Caenorhabditis elegans: one gene and its partner. The protein of the gene in region 2 purifies or fractionates together with the protein of the main gene of each other region. This does not show direct contact. Each region holds a gene or a part of one and is shown on either strand. Other genes may lie near its edges. The genes, in order: H25P19.1 and mrps-5.

Evidence for each region.
Region 1: the proteins of mrps-5 (region 2) and H25P19.1 fractionate together in Caenorhabditis elegans (co-fractionation; one large-scale study listed by BioGRID). This does not show direct contact.

What each region holds. Positions count from the first base shown.
Region 1 is NC_003283.11:685,113-691,797, reverse strand, and holds H25P19.1 (CUE domain-containing protein), read right to left. Parts: upstream 4,115-6,685; 5' UTR 4,084-4,114; coding exon 3,950-4,083; intron 3,895-3,949; coding exon 3,747-3,894; intron 3,585-3,746; coding exon 3,399-3,584; intron 2,546-3,398; coding exon 2,382-2,545; intron 2,334-2,381; coding exon 1,916-2,333; 3' UTR 1,766-1,915; downstream 1-1,765. Other genes in the region: srx-4 (G-protein coupled receptors family 1 profile domain-containing protein), read left to right, coding at 1-35, 102-181, 493-667, 717-923; F31F4.1 (Nucleotide-diphospho-sugar transferase domain-containing protein), read right to left, coding at 5,664-5,871, 5,921-6,207, 6,252-6,316, 6,464-6,685.
Region 2 is NC_003283.11:12,561,888-12,568,573, reverse strand, and holds mrps-5 (Small ribosomal subunit protein uS5m), read right to left. Parts: upstream 5,088-6,686; coding exon 4,907-5,087; intron 4,860-4,906; coding exon 4,709-4,859; intron 4,657-4,708; coding exon 4,079-4,656; intron 3,433-4,078; coding exon 3,326-3,432; intron 3,276-3,325; coding exon 3,141-3,275; intron 3,094-3,140; coding exon 2,935-3,093; 3' UTR 2,773-2,934; downstream 1-2,772. Other genes in the region: nssp-66 (uncharacterized protein), read left to right, coding at 648-729, 1,243-1,347, 2,175-2,275; sel-1 (S5 DRBM domain-containing protein), read right to left, coding at 5,516-5,931, 5,982-6,392, 6,453-6,686.

The DNA of each region.
Region 1 (6,685 bases), about 12 Mb from region 2:
TCAGCTCTGTGGTTTCGGCGTTTTTCTACGTTATGGTGAGTTTTTTGAGTTATTTTTGTCTACTTTCACAAAAAGAATGTTTCGAAACAAATAGTTTTTAGATATTCTGGACAGTTCACAAATCGACGCCCAACTCATCAACTGGTGAAGAGCAAAAATTACGGAGGGAGCGAGATGTCAAGTAAGCCTTCCGCTTAAAAGCGCGCTTTTTGAAATCGAGGTGCAAACGCGCTCCGTCGACAAAAGTTGAGTCTCATTAGGAAAGTTGTTATATATTTTCAGTCGATTTTTGATGAGTTTTAAGATGAAAATATCGTGTTTTTTAAACTTTGGCATAAGATTGTTAAATAGACGGCTTTGACGCGACTACCTAACGAGACCCAACCTTTTAAGGCGGAGCGTATGTATTTATCGGTGGGACACACTTGTATAGGGTATTTCAGTGGGGTGCGCTCCACGGGCCGAGCCTTTCGTAAAAGCTTATTCTCTCAGATACGCCTTCCAATTCTGCCTTCTTCTGATATTTTACATCTGCGCATGGTCCCTGTTCCGAATTCTGCCCCTAATCATCGCAAATCATGGAATCGAGTGGTTTGTGTTGATTCCAATGTTTTACACATTGAATTGCACTTCCAATGCAATAATTTATTTGGGATTCAATAGCGAGGTGAGATAATTGATTTAATTTAAAATGCAATTTAAAAATAATTTTGTAGGTCCAGGAAAACTTAAAGCCTCAAAAACTGCAATCCATTCTTCGCATTCTAAAATTTATGAAGCCTGAACCATCCTTTCAAGACGTCAGTTTGGCAAACGCGACGAATGCATCAAGTGTCGCTCCGATCCGCCACGTTGCACTACGATTTGTTCCAAAAAAAATTCACCAGCCATTTCGATCGATTGGAGTTCGAGAGGGACCATAATAATTTTTTAAGATTTTGCGTTTAAAAAAATTTCAAGCAGTCTCAAATTCAGAAATACCACAAAAAACAAACGCGCGAATTATATTTTGCGAATTTTCAACTTTTGAAGTATCGTCTTTTTGTCTCGAAACTCCGCCTATTTTTCCAGTGATTTTCTCCAAAATTTGAACTGCGACCAATCAGCGACTTGCTCCACCAACTTTTCAACCAATCAGAAGAAGTGGGCGGAGTGAGACGACACTGATTGGTTATAAAGTAGGTTTTCATTTTGGAATGAATTTAACGAAAATTGAAATATCACGTTTTACTACGGTAACACACAATTTTGAGAATGAAACAATATATTACCGATACAGAGCGTGTAGATAGTGAGAGAGTGGCAGACATCCGGGTCCCAAAGGGGCGGGGCGCGCGGAAGAGACGATTTGTGTCGATTTACGAAATTTTTCCCGTTGACAACATTCCGTAAATCGACACAAATCGTCTCTTCCGCGCGCCCCGCCCCTTTGGGACCCGGATGTCTGCCACTCTCTCACTATCTACACGCTCTGTATCGGTAATAATGGACACCAAAATATATCTCATAGCGAAAACTACAGTAGTTCTTTAAATGACTACTGTAGGGCTACTTGTGTCGATTTACGGATTTATCAATAGAATATTAAAATTAATCAGAAAATTGGAAAATAATACGGAGGAATGCAGGAAAAAATTCAAAAAGAAATTCATTTTGAAAACCGAGCCCGTAAATCGACACTACAGTAGTCATTTAAAGAATTACTGTAGTTTCCGCTACGAGATATTTTGCGCGTGAAATATGTTGCACAATGCGTATTTTTAGATTTTTTTTTTTCAAATTTTTTGTCTCAAAATAAATAATATTTATTATACTATTAAAAAAACAACACAAAATATGAGAAAGTGACACAACAAAAATCACGTTAGAATAAATATTACACAACCGGCAAAAAAGTGAGAGTTGAGATGGGGAATTATTCAAAGATGTTCGTCGAGCGTCGCGTTCGGGCCGGATAGGACTTCTGGGCTCCGCCGCGGGCCTGCTCGAGAGATCGCTTTAGGTATGGGCGCTTCGGTGGCGTCGATTTTGAAGTTCGCGGGGTGGATTTCGGCGGAGATTTCGGTGGAGTCGGCGAGGAAATGATCGAAATGCCCGGCGTCGCTGTTCCGAGTTTTGACGGAGTGAATCGGAATTTCAAGTTGATGCGTGGTGGTCGTGATGGCTCCGGCTCCGGCATCGGAGTTCCATTCGTGGATTCTTGAGCGCTGTTCACCGAGGTGGTGTCCGAATCGTTGTTCAGATCCGTTTCCTGTCCTCCTCTACTACCACGTAGATTCGCTAGGCGAGTTGACATGGCCTTCTGAGCACGCGTCTGCTTTTTTGGGTCTTGCCTGGAATTCAATATTTCTTTTTAAATTTAATTTTTTTCAAAAACTCACTGATAAATTGTGATATTACTGGCCTTCATTTTCTCTTCCAGCCTCTGCTTATCTTCAGGAGTAACCAGGCGATCTGGGGTCTCGAGGCGCCAATTTCCGCACAATTTGTTTTTTTCTTTATAGTAGAAATTGACCAGCGTTTTTGTGTCCACTCCTTTTCGGAACTGAATAAGAAATAATTTTTCTTAATTTTTTGATTGAAAAAAAAAATTTTAAAACACTAGTGTAGACTCAAAATGTGCAAAAGTCGACGAGTTTTGTTAAAAATCTCAAATTTTTCCATTGGAAATCAATTTTAAATTTATTATCGAAATTTCGCAGGATTTTGGCATGCGTTCTTAAAGACGCATGGATTTATTTAGTTGGGTCTCGGCGCGCAAAAAAATTATGGTAGTTTTTCTGATTTTTCTTTTTAATTTTTAAAAAAACATGTTTTTTTTTTTAAATATTTTTTCTCATTTTTTCTTTTCATATTTCTTTTTAATTTTTTTTGTTCAAAATTGTTTTTTTTTAATTTTCGGTTCAAAATCCATCTTTTTTACATTTTTTGCAATTTTTTTTTCAATTTTTTTTCCAGTACAAAACTGTTTTTTTCTGTTCAAGATCTTTTCTGTTTAAAATTGTTTTTTTTTCTAAAAATTGTTTTTTTTTTCATTTTTCTGTTCAAAATCGTTTTTTTTTTAATTTTTTTTGTTCAAGGTCAATCTTTTTATACAATTTTGCTAATTTTTTTTCCTTATTTTGTTAAAAATGTTTTTTTTGTTCAAAAGTGTTTTTTTTGTATAAAAATATGTTAAAAAATACCATAAAATTTTTTTGCGCGGCGAGACCCGTCTGAATAAATTCGTGCGCCATTAAGAAAACATTCAAAAAGTCTGCAAATTGACGACACGCGAAGATTTCAGATTTTAGCTAAAATTTGGCCTTTTTTTCGGAATTTTCAAATTTTCAAATTTTTTTTTCCGATAAAATTGTTTTTTTTGCACATTTTTTCTCAGTTTTTTCCAGAAAACTGACAGTTTTTGTAAAATAAAATTCCTCGTAGTGCATCCTTTTCCGCGATTTTGCATCCCTTTCAAACGGAGCATTCGCGATCATAATTTTCTTGGCAAAATCCGGCATCAAATCCGGAGCATCCATTTGCAAGGCGACACGTGTCGCAGTTTCAAAATCATATTCGTAGAACGAGAGAATTCGGAATGCCTGGAAGTGGGAAAATTATTAAATTGGCGGGGTGGTGATCTACAAAAAATGCGGGAATTTTTTCCGAGCTCTCAACTCCCGCATTTTTCGAAGATCAAACCGACATGGGACATTCTGACACCCAAAAATCTTTTTTTTTAGGAAAAATAAATAAAAATTCACCACATCCTCTGGCAAATGACATGTTTCTCGCTTAAATTGCTCAATATCGTGCTCTTCGACATTTCCTACTGGTGGAAGCATTAAAATTGTTTCATTATCCCTTTCAGAGACGGCGCTTGTTCGAAAATCCGGAATTTCTGCGGTAGATCTGAAAATTTTAAGGTTGGTTTTTTTAAATTTATTATTTTATTCTTCGAATTTACTTCTTATTATGACTTGGATGATAAGTATTATCAGCATTTCGCTTTGTTCGTTTCTTCAAAAATCTCTTTTTGCAATCGTCTTCCTCGCATTTTTCCACGTCTTCAGCCGGCGGCGGCTGGGCTCCTCTTCTCATTTTTATCGATTTTTTTGGGGAGATTATATCTGGAAATTATATATTTTTATTTGAAAGTAGTGTGAAAGTGTATATTTATTAATTAAAAATTATAAATCGATAAGAAAAATTCGAAAAATTGTGAGTCAATGCCGAAAAACTGCCAGCGAAATGAAAAATAAATGAAAAAGAAAAGTGCGGGGAGAGAGGCAAAGAGACGCAGGCGGAGAAGAACGGAAAACGACTGACAACGGGAGAACATGGATGTTTGTTTGAGGAAAGAAGGAATAAATGCGAAAAAAATTATTGAAAATGAAAAAAACTGTTTTACTACGGTAAATGGAAAAGTACGCGGCTTCCGTGTTTGCACAGTTCTCATTGCATACCGTATACCATATAAATAAAAGTTAAATTATGGATTTTCAGGTCAACTTTGAACTTTAGAATCGAAAAAAAAACGTTTTTTAAATATTAAAAAAGTTTATTTGTACTTGAAAAACTGATTTAAACCGATTTTCAATAAAAATATTTGAAAAAAAAAACGACAAAATTATCTAAAACCAAGTGATTTTATTGAAAAATGTAAGGAAAATGAGGGAAAAAGCACAATAACGTTTTTTCGCGCCGAGACCCATTTGAAAAAATTGTGCGCCTTTAAGTTTTACGAGAACACAAAATTTAGAAAATGCGTACAACATATTTGACGCGCAAAATATCTCGTAGCGAAAACTACAGTAATTCTGTAAATGTCTACTGTAGCGCTGATGGCGATTTAAGGGCTCGATCATTTATTTCTCAAAAGAATATTTTAAAAAAAAGCAAAACATAAGAAAATTCTCGTAAATCGACACAAGCGCTACATCAGTCTTTTAATGGGTTACTGTAGTTTTCGCTACGAGATATTTTGCGCGTCAATTATGTTGTCCAATACGCATTCTCAGAATTTTGTGTTTCTGTAATATAAAATTTATAAAACTTACAAGGAAAGTAAGTCAATCTAGTCCCGGACATTAAATCGAGACGTATGTCATTCGAAAGCTTATGTTTAGACTAGATCACCACAAAAATTTCAGCGGCGGAACTCAACTCTGAACCCCTGAAATCGCCATCTGAAAGTGCTCCAGTGCATTTTTTCGCTGATTTCTATGTCAAGTAAATGGCCTTAAAAGGGGTTCTGAGCGATTAGAAATTGTTTTTAGGGGGTTTTAGGGTCTAACAAACAATGTGGAAGCTTTTTGGAAATTTTTATTTTTTTGAAAAAATCTGAATTTTTTTCGATCCATTAGACACTCAGATTCTTTCAAAAAAATAAAAATTTCCAAAAAGCTTCCACATTGTTTGTTAGACCCTAAAACCCCCTAAAAACAATTTCTAATCGCTCAGAACCCCTTTTAAGGCCATTTACTTGACATAGAAATCAGCGAAAAAAATGCACTGGAGCACTTTCAGATGGCGATTTCAGGGGTTCAGAGTTGAGTTCCGCCGCTGAAATTTTTGTGGTGATCTAGTCTAAACATAAGCTTTCAAATGACATACGTCTCGATTTAAAGTCCGGGACTAGATTGACTTACTTTCCTTGTTAAGAAAAAAACAAATGTATTTCAATAATCTCCGTCGAGTCTTGCAAATGATTTCCTTTTCATTATTTCAATGTCGACCCGAATTTTTTTCAAGGTTTGCAAAATTTCCTCTTTATTGCCAAGCACCCTCAAATCGTAATTCCATGTAACATTTCCAGGTTTGCATTTTTCCAGGTCAAAATTTCCAGAAAACGGGCTATACCACCGATTTTTTGAAATTGGAAGTGGTCTAGAAATATATATTTTTCCTTAACTAGATATATTTCTTTTCTAAAAACCTCAGTCCATTTTGCGGGATTCCCCTCAACTGCCAAGATTTCCATCCATGCAACATAAAATCAATTCCCGGGTGCCATTGACTTTTCGTGAGCCATCCGTCTCTCACCCAGCTTGTTCCTTTTTCCAAAATTCGGATTTTCCCGAAATCTATAGAATCTCCTAGCAAATCACGAATACATGCCTCGAATGTGAACAGGTCTTCGTAGCTTTTTGATTTTTCGTAAAATTTTCGGCACTTTTCGAGTTTTGGAGAAGATTTTGGTGTTAGTTTTTCAGCGAGGAACATCTGAAATGGAAGAAATTCGTTATGGTGCATCGAGGATTGCTTACATGGATAGCTCCATTATCGGAGCCGTGAAGGCTCTTAGGTAGTCGTACTTCATAGTTTGCAAACTCTAAAAAAATTTAATACAGACAGGCAAAATAAGCTGCCTACGGCCTATTTTTACAGCTTTGGCGTGAACTCAAATTCAATAAGATTAGGCAGTAGGCACCAGGTAGGCATCCTTTTTGTGCCTACGTAAAATTATTAGAAAACTTACCGTTCAGCAAATCCACTGAAAATTTTGTATTCCTCGCAATATACGACCCCGTGGCAATTTCCCAATTCTGAAACCGGTCGTAAAATATGACATTAACTCTTTTTTCGATGAATTCTTCGATTTTTCGCTTCGGATTGACTACACCGATGTCGGCGTCCAAAAACATCATGACGTCATAGTCGAGTAGAATTTTTGCAGCAATACAGTGTCGGCGGAAGAGTT
Region 2 (6,686 bases):
AAAACGGAAACCGCGTTTTAGAATCCTTTAAACTTTTGAAAGGTAGCTGACTAAGAAGCTCGAGAAGATGATATATGGCTATTAATTTTGATAGGGTATACAAATAACCACAAAAGATATCCAAAAGTTAAAGTGATGAGCTCAATATAATAAAAGTCATAAATAACGAGGTTACTGTGTTTTGAAGTGGTTAAGACGTCACTGAATCTTTTCCATTCATCTGAAGTTTTTTGATGACTTGAGACTATCAGCTATTAGGCTACAAGGAAAACAAAGAAGCGTTCTCATTCACAAGTAGCAATTTCGTCTAGTCTGACCACCCACTCAATTTCGTAATTTTGAGTCATCATCCTAAACCTTAAGGAAAGGTTATGATCACGAACACATTCTTATCATCCATTCCCTCCCTCCTGCTCATTCATTTTCTCTTCCAGCTTAATTCTTTCCTAAGCCCCGCCCACTTTCCTACAAGCCCTCCCCTTGCGATTCAGCCTTCCTCTTAAAGAAAGCAACGTCGCCTCTCCTTTGCCCATTTTTTCTAAAGTACTTTCCTCAAATTTCTTTAAAATTTATTTGAGTTTTTTTAAAATTTATTTAAATTTATTCATATATAGTTTTTTCTAGGTAACACACAAAGTGCAGATAAAATGCTTACAAAAGTGATCATTGCAATCAGCATTATCGTTTTACACACAGCTCTTGGAGCAGTGATTCGAGAATCACCAGAAGGTACGGTATTCTTTTATTTTATTTTATAAACTGTTCCCTAGAAATTGAAACCAAAGTTCTAAGAACCGCCACATTGGCGAACTGGTTCAAATTTCTGCAGAGTAATCCAATACTTTCCTTTTGAATTATTAGTAATACATTGCACCACCACCTGATTTCAATAGGTGTAGGTGGAAATGAAGCACTTCATTCAGCACGTACCTAAGATTCCAAGGCAAAATATTTGTTTTTGCGTAAATTACCCGTATGGATTTATCACGTCTATAGTATATCCTTTTGTTCTTCCTTATTAGTTTGGCTTTTCCAGATTAAAGGATTATGGTTTGGTAATCTTTTGATGGAAAAAAGGAGAAGAAAAATGAAATCAAGGAAATAATGGTGGCGGGAAAAGATTAGTTCAGTCCCGTGCAGTTATTGATGTCTAGAGACTACATAGGGGGCTAAATTTCAGTTCTAACAGTAGTTAGGAAAAATATAAGTAGATGCAGGATTCAATTCATGTTTTTTTTTCAGAATTCATCGCTGTCGATTGTTCGACTCTAAACGAATGTAATGGAAACTGGGGATGTGTGGAATACTTGATGAGTCTCTATCGACTTGACTGTGTCACAGGACCGGGTAGGAATTTCTTTTTTTTTGTTCTTAAATATTGGGCAAAATTTTCATAACTTTTGTTATCGGAAACTCGCAATTATCAGTTATTTATTTGGATGGGTCTGGTATGGAGAAAAAGTTTTTGTACCATTTTCGATGTTTTTGGAACTTCGTTGTCTTGAAAAGCGCCACCGTGATGAAATATAATCTGCCCACTGTGAGACCCATCCAAAAAAATACGTGCACCTTTATTTGCGTGTTTCTGAAAGTTGTAAAGTTACGATATCACTATTGCAACCGAACTTCTCTTGTTGATTCATTGAGAGTTTTTCCCAAGATGTGTAAGCAAAAGTACATCTAACCCAGCCCTACTGTACCTACTGAAAATTCAAAATCCCGAGAAATAACATTTGTTTTTGTCTATAGTCAATGTGTATTGCACACTTCAATTGCGTAAATAATCGTCGCATAAATTATGAAAATCAGAATTAGTTAATATATTGCTCACTGATGATGACCGCTTGTTCAAAACGAAAACAAAAAGTTGATTCAATTTTGTTCCAAACTTTTGTTTTAGTATATTCCAGTCTTGTGACATGTTTCAATGATCACCTCTCATCTAGTCGACTGATCAACCACCCCCGGAGAGAATAATGAAAAGAGGAAGCTATTTTCAAAAAAATAAAGACAATTGTCTTTTGAATAAATTATAAGTATTTATTAGTGGATTAAGGTTCTTTTCTGGACACTGTGACGAAATTTGGAGAGTCTTAATGTGACAAATATGTGATGTGATATGGAAAATAAATATATTTTCATGAGTTCCATATTCTTATAATTTTTGATTTCAGTCTCCAAAAAGTCTCCTTTCGTCAATGGCGGTGGCAAACGCGGTGGAATGAAAAATCTTCAAAAAATCTTCTTGGGAAGCTACATGACAAAACTTCGTTGATTTGAATCTCGAAATCAAGTCTGAAAATATCCATCTGAAATTTTCACCACTACCTCCCTCACCATAAACTTTCCATCCGATCCCCCTCTTAACCGCATTCCTGCAAGACTTAGCTTTTTACTTTTTGACTCCACGTGGCCAAATAAAAAGTGCCACGTGGCATTGTTCCTAGCTGGCCGCATATCACTTTATTCTTGCTGACTATGTCTCTCTCGTTCTACTCTTCTCAAGCACTCTCTCATTACACGTTGGAGAACATTGAAAATAAAATAATTTCTGTGTTAGCCTGTCTTGTAGAGTATAAGCTCACAAAACACGAATTAAAAAACATCTGCAAGTGACAAGTGCAATTAGAAAAAGGAAAAATCAATCCAGCTTTACTAAAGTTTCATCTGCTCTGAAAATGGCTCGACTTAAGTCCAGTTTTCGTGTACAGCTCAGGCTGCATTTGAAGCCAAATGTCGATTTTACAGCTGTCGTAATTCCAGAAAGGTAGGTATTTTGTAGCGATATAGGTCTCAGAAAATTTTTATCGATGAGAAAAAATTATAAAGAATAACAAAACGAACAAAGAAAGCAAACCTGGAAAACAATTTAAAGACTTCCTTCTAGAGCTACTGAATAAAGAAAACGAGAAAAAGAAACAGTAATTGAATAGCCTAGTCATCCTTTTTGGGAACCACATGCGAGAGTCCGATACCGAGTGGCATTGGTTCGACACCCGTTGTCATTCGTTCATTTCTTTGATCCGCCCACGCAGCACGAGCATCACGAGTCCAACGTGGAACCATGTTATCGGCAATCAGGCGAATCATAGTCTGAAAATTTTATTTTTCAATTAAAGTTGTACATTATCACTTCTAACCGATTCCTGATTTCTGAAAGGATGTTTCCTCCATCTGGCATCCAAATGACCTTCGAGGTTGGAAAAGAATGGAAGAGATTTCGGCTTTCTTAATGGATACCGTCCTTCACCATAGAAGTCATCAAGATTCAGGCGCTGGAAAATATAAATTTGAAAATGTTCTTGGAAATCCAAACTAGTATTACATCAAGTGCTTCTAAAGTTTCCTCGGTCTTGAGTTCAGTGGAAATCGGTGACGCCACAATTTGGGGTAAGAAATGACGAGATGGGGACATTTCAACGACATGAAGACCTGAAATAATTCGAAATTCCAGTTGATTACGGAAGTATGAGAAGAGGAATTATGAGAAATCTATCAGCAATCCCAGGAAGAAGACCCACAAAGTCTGAAGAACGAACCGATGTTTTTTGCATGTATTTATAGAAAAATGAGAGCTTATGAATATAATTAAATGAAAAATTATTAAAAGGACTTATCAAGTTTGATTTGAGAAGAAAATTTTGAGCAAGCTCTTAAAGAAAACAAAAACAATTTTTGTTGGCATTTTTACAAAGACTTTGACAAAATGTGGTTTTCAGTGGGTTTAATGATTTTTTTTCTAAAAAAAATCTAAAGTAAGTAAAACCAAAATAGTTTTTTTTTGCAAATTTCAATTTGGCCCGTATTTTTATTTTTGGTCCCAGCTCTGGCTCGTACAGATGGCACGACCCTCTGATGGCTGTTACAAAGATACATCCAGCTACAGTAATATTCCAGTACCACGGGAATATTACTTTATGTGATTATAACTTTTATTTCTAAACACTAATATTTAGCAAAAAATAATAAATGTTCTTTTCTAAAATACAAGTTTTGGTTTACGTCTTTCAAAGAGTTTAAATTTAATGTTACATATGTTATTTAATTGGTTTTTTTTTAGAATTTTGCTTTTTTTTACCTTTTCGTTCGGCCAGTTGTTGATGAGTCTCTTGGTTGAGGAGTCCAGTGACAAATGCATGAGTCAATGCCAAATAGTTTTTCGTGGATCCTTCAACTTTCACGTAAATATCCTTGATACCGATAGCCTCACAAATTTTGATCAGTCTGGGATGGCATGTAAGACCGAATCCACGTGGGCGACGTTGTGCAAATACTCGAGTGTTACGGCATTCAGCATAAAAGTCCTGATAAATCGTACGTCCTTCATGAAGTTCAACGTGGAATAGCTTTCTGGATGCCATTCCCATTCCATTAATGATAGCTGTAGTGGTACGATGAATTGGTGCTTTTCCAACAGCATATCCAGCAAGTCCTCGTCCATTTCCAGTAACAACTAGTGCTGACATTGTGTGAACTCTTCCAAATACATTTGTCATGTTAGAAGTACGCTTAACCTCTAAACAATAAGTTTCAAAATCATCGAAATTCACACCATCGAGTGGTGGTGGTGCACCAAGTTTCTGTCCGACAAGTTGTGTTCCAGAGAATCCACGCTCCATCGGATGCAGTTTTTCACGGTTGCGCTTCTTTTTTCCACTAAAAAACGGAATTATGTGTGAAAATGAAAAATCATAAAATAAGTACTCACGTATCTCGTTCTTCGAGAATTTTCTTGGTTCCACCCATTGAATCTCGAATTTCATCTTCCGTCTGTTCAGCAATTGACATCAAATTTTGATTTTCTGTCTCTCTCATTCTGATTGGAGCATTCAGGCCAGCAAATTCGATTTTCATTGGACCTGAAAAATAATTCCAAACCATTCACTTTTACAAATATTTCACATACTGGATCCAATTCGATAAAATCGATTGAGAGGTCTAACTGGTTGTCTTGTGTTACGACGTCCTTTCTTCTGACCAGATTTTGAAACGGAGGTTAATGTTTTCCACAGTTCTGGACCAGATCTTCTCATAAAGAAGTTCACCGTATTGCTACGGGTCTGGACAAATGGCAAAAGTGATGCCATCTAAAATAAAACAGAGTTCGTAAAAAAGTTAAGTTTTGAATTCATAAAATACGAATCGGACTCTTATCAAACCGAATCGAAATAGAAGAAGAAAAAAAGGATTGAAATAAAATTTGTTTTAAACTCAAAGTGTATGAGAATACCGTACATCAGAAAAAAACCGATTTTTTACTAAAAAATCGGCAAGTAAATCACACGAAATGAGGAATTCTAATTGGACCATCTAACAGAGAAAAGAAACACGAACACAAAAGAAGGCAAATGTTTGATGATTAGAAGGGACAGCGTAGACCCGAGTAGGCTGATGTGAATATTACAACTATTAAAAGAAGGCGCGGAATGTGCTTAACTGGGCAGGGAAGATAATTAAATAAATTACAGGGATGTGGCATTTTGTTTTTCATTTTTTACATTTGGAGAGAATCGTATCAATTATCATTTTGTCGGTGCCTCCAGAACAAGAATAATGGAACCAATGCAGAAACGGTCATCAAAATAGCATCCCATCGTGGTCCAACGGTTTTCTCCATAAAACTGATTAATGGCAGCTTGTTGAGCTCTTCCAAATAGAAGACAAAAGCTAGTTTTGCTAATGCTAATTTCGACGGCATGTATGCATCCTGACTATGCTCAATTGCTTGATCGTAGAAACGTTTAGCCAGGTAAAGATCCCGAGTGATTCCTTCGCCAACTTCGTGCATATATCCCAAATTGAACATTGCTTGAGCAACACCGTGTCTATCGACTGCCATTTTATAGTTTGAGAACGCCAAACTGTGGTCAACTTCTGTACCGAGACCATAATAGTAGTAATCACCAAGTTTCACGCGAGCAGCAGCATATTCTACAAATTATTAATTCTAGAATAAGTTAAAAATTTTTAATAATAATTACCTTGATTTGCAGATCTTTGCCAATTGAGGAACGCTCTTTCCATATTGTTATCTTTCGGTCCCGAGAACAATGACGTCGCTTCTCCACGATCCAAAATATAGGCTAGATTAGTTTGAGCAACTTCATAGCCAAGTTCAGCCATGAATAAATATTTCATTGCGGCCTCATCAACTCGATTATCTTTATATGCGCTATGGGCTTCCATCAATCGTTCTCCCCATTTTCCTCGTTCGGCTACAGATTTGAAAAGATCAACCGCGTGGGAACATGAACGTGGAACTCCCGTTCCAGCAGCGTGCATTTGAGCAAGATTATAGTAGGCAAGAATATGTCCATTTTGAGAAGCAAGCTGGTAAAGTTTCACAGATTTCTTGAAATCTCGATGCACTCCTTTGTTGGTTGGAACACCTTCTGAAAATAAATATATTTTGTATTAAAAATAAAAATGAACAGCTAAGTATAAAAACTCACTGTAATGTAATTCTGCTAAATACATTTGTCCATCGGCGTTCTTCTTATCAGCCGACAATGTCAGCAACTTCAAAGCCTTTTCGTAATTCTTCTTGACTCCTTTTCCTTTCATATACATTGCTCCCAATACAGCCTGTGCACTAGGACTAGATTTATCAGCTGATTTCATCAAATATTCGAATGATTTTTGATAATCTTTTGGCGTAAACGGAGTTCCATCCAAATACATTTTTC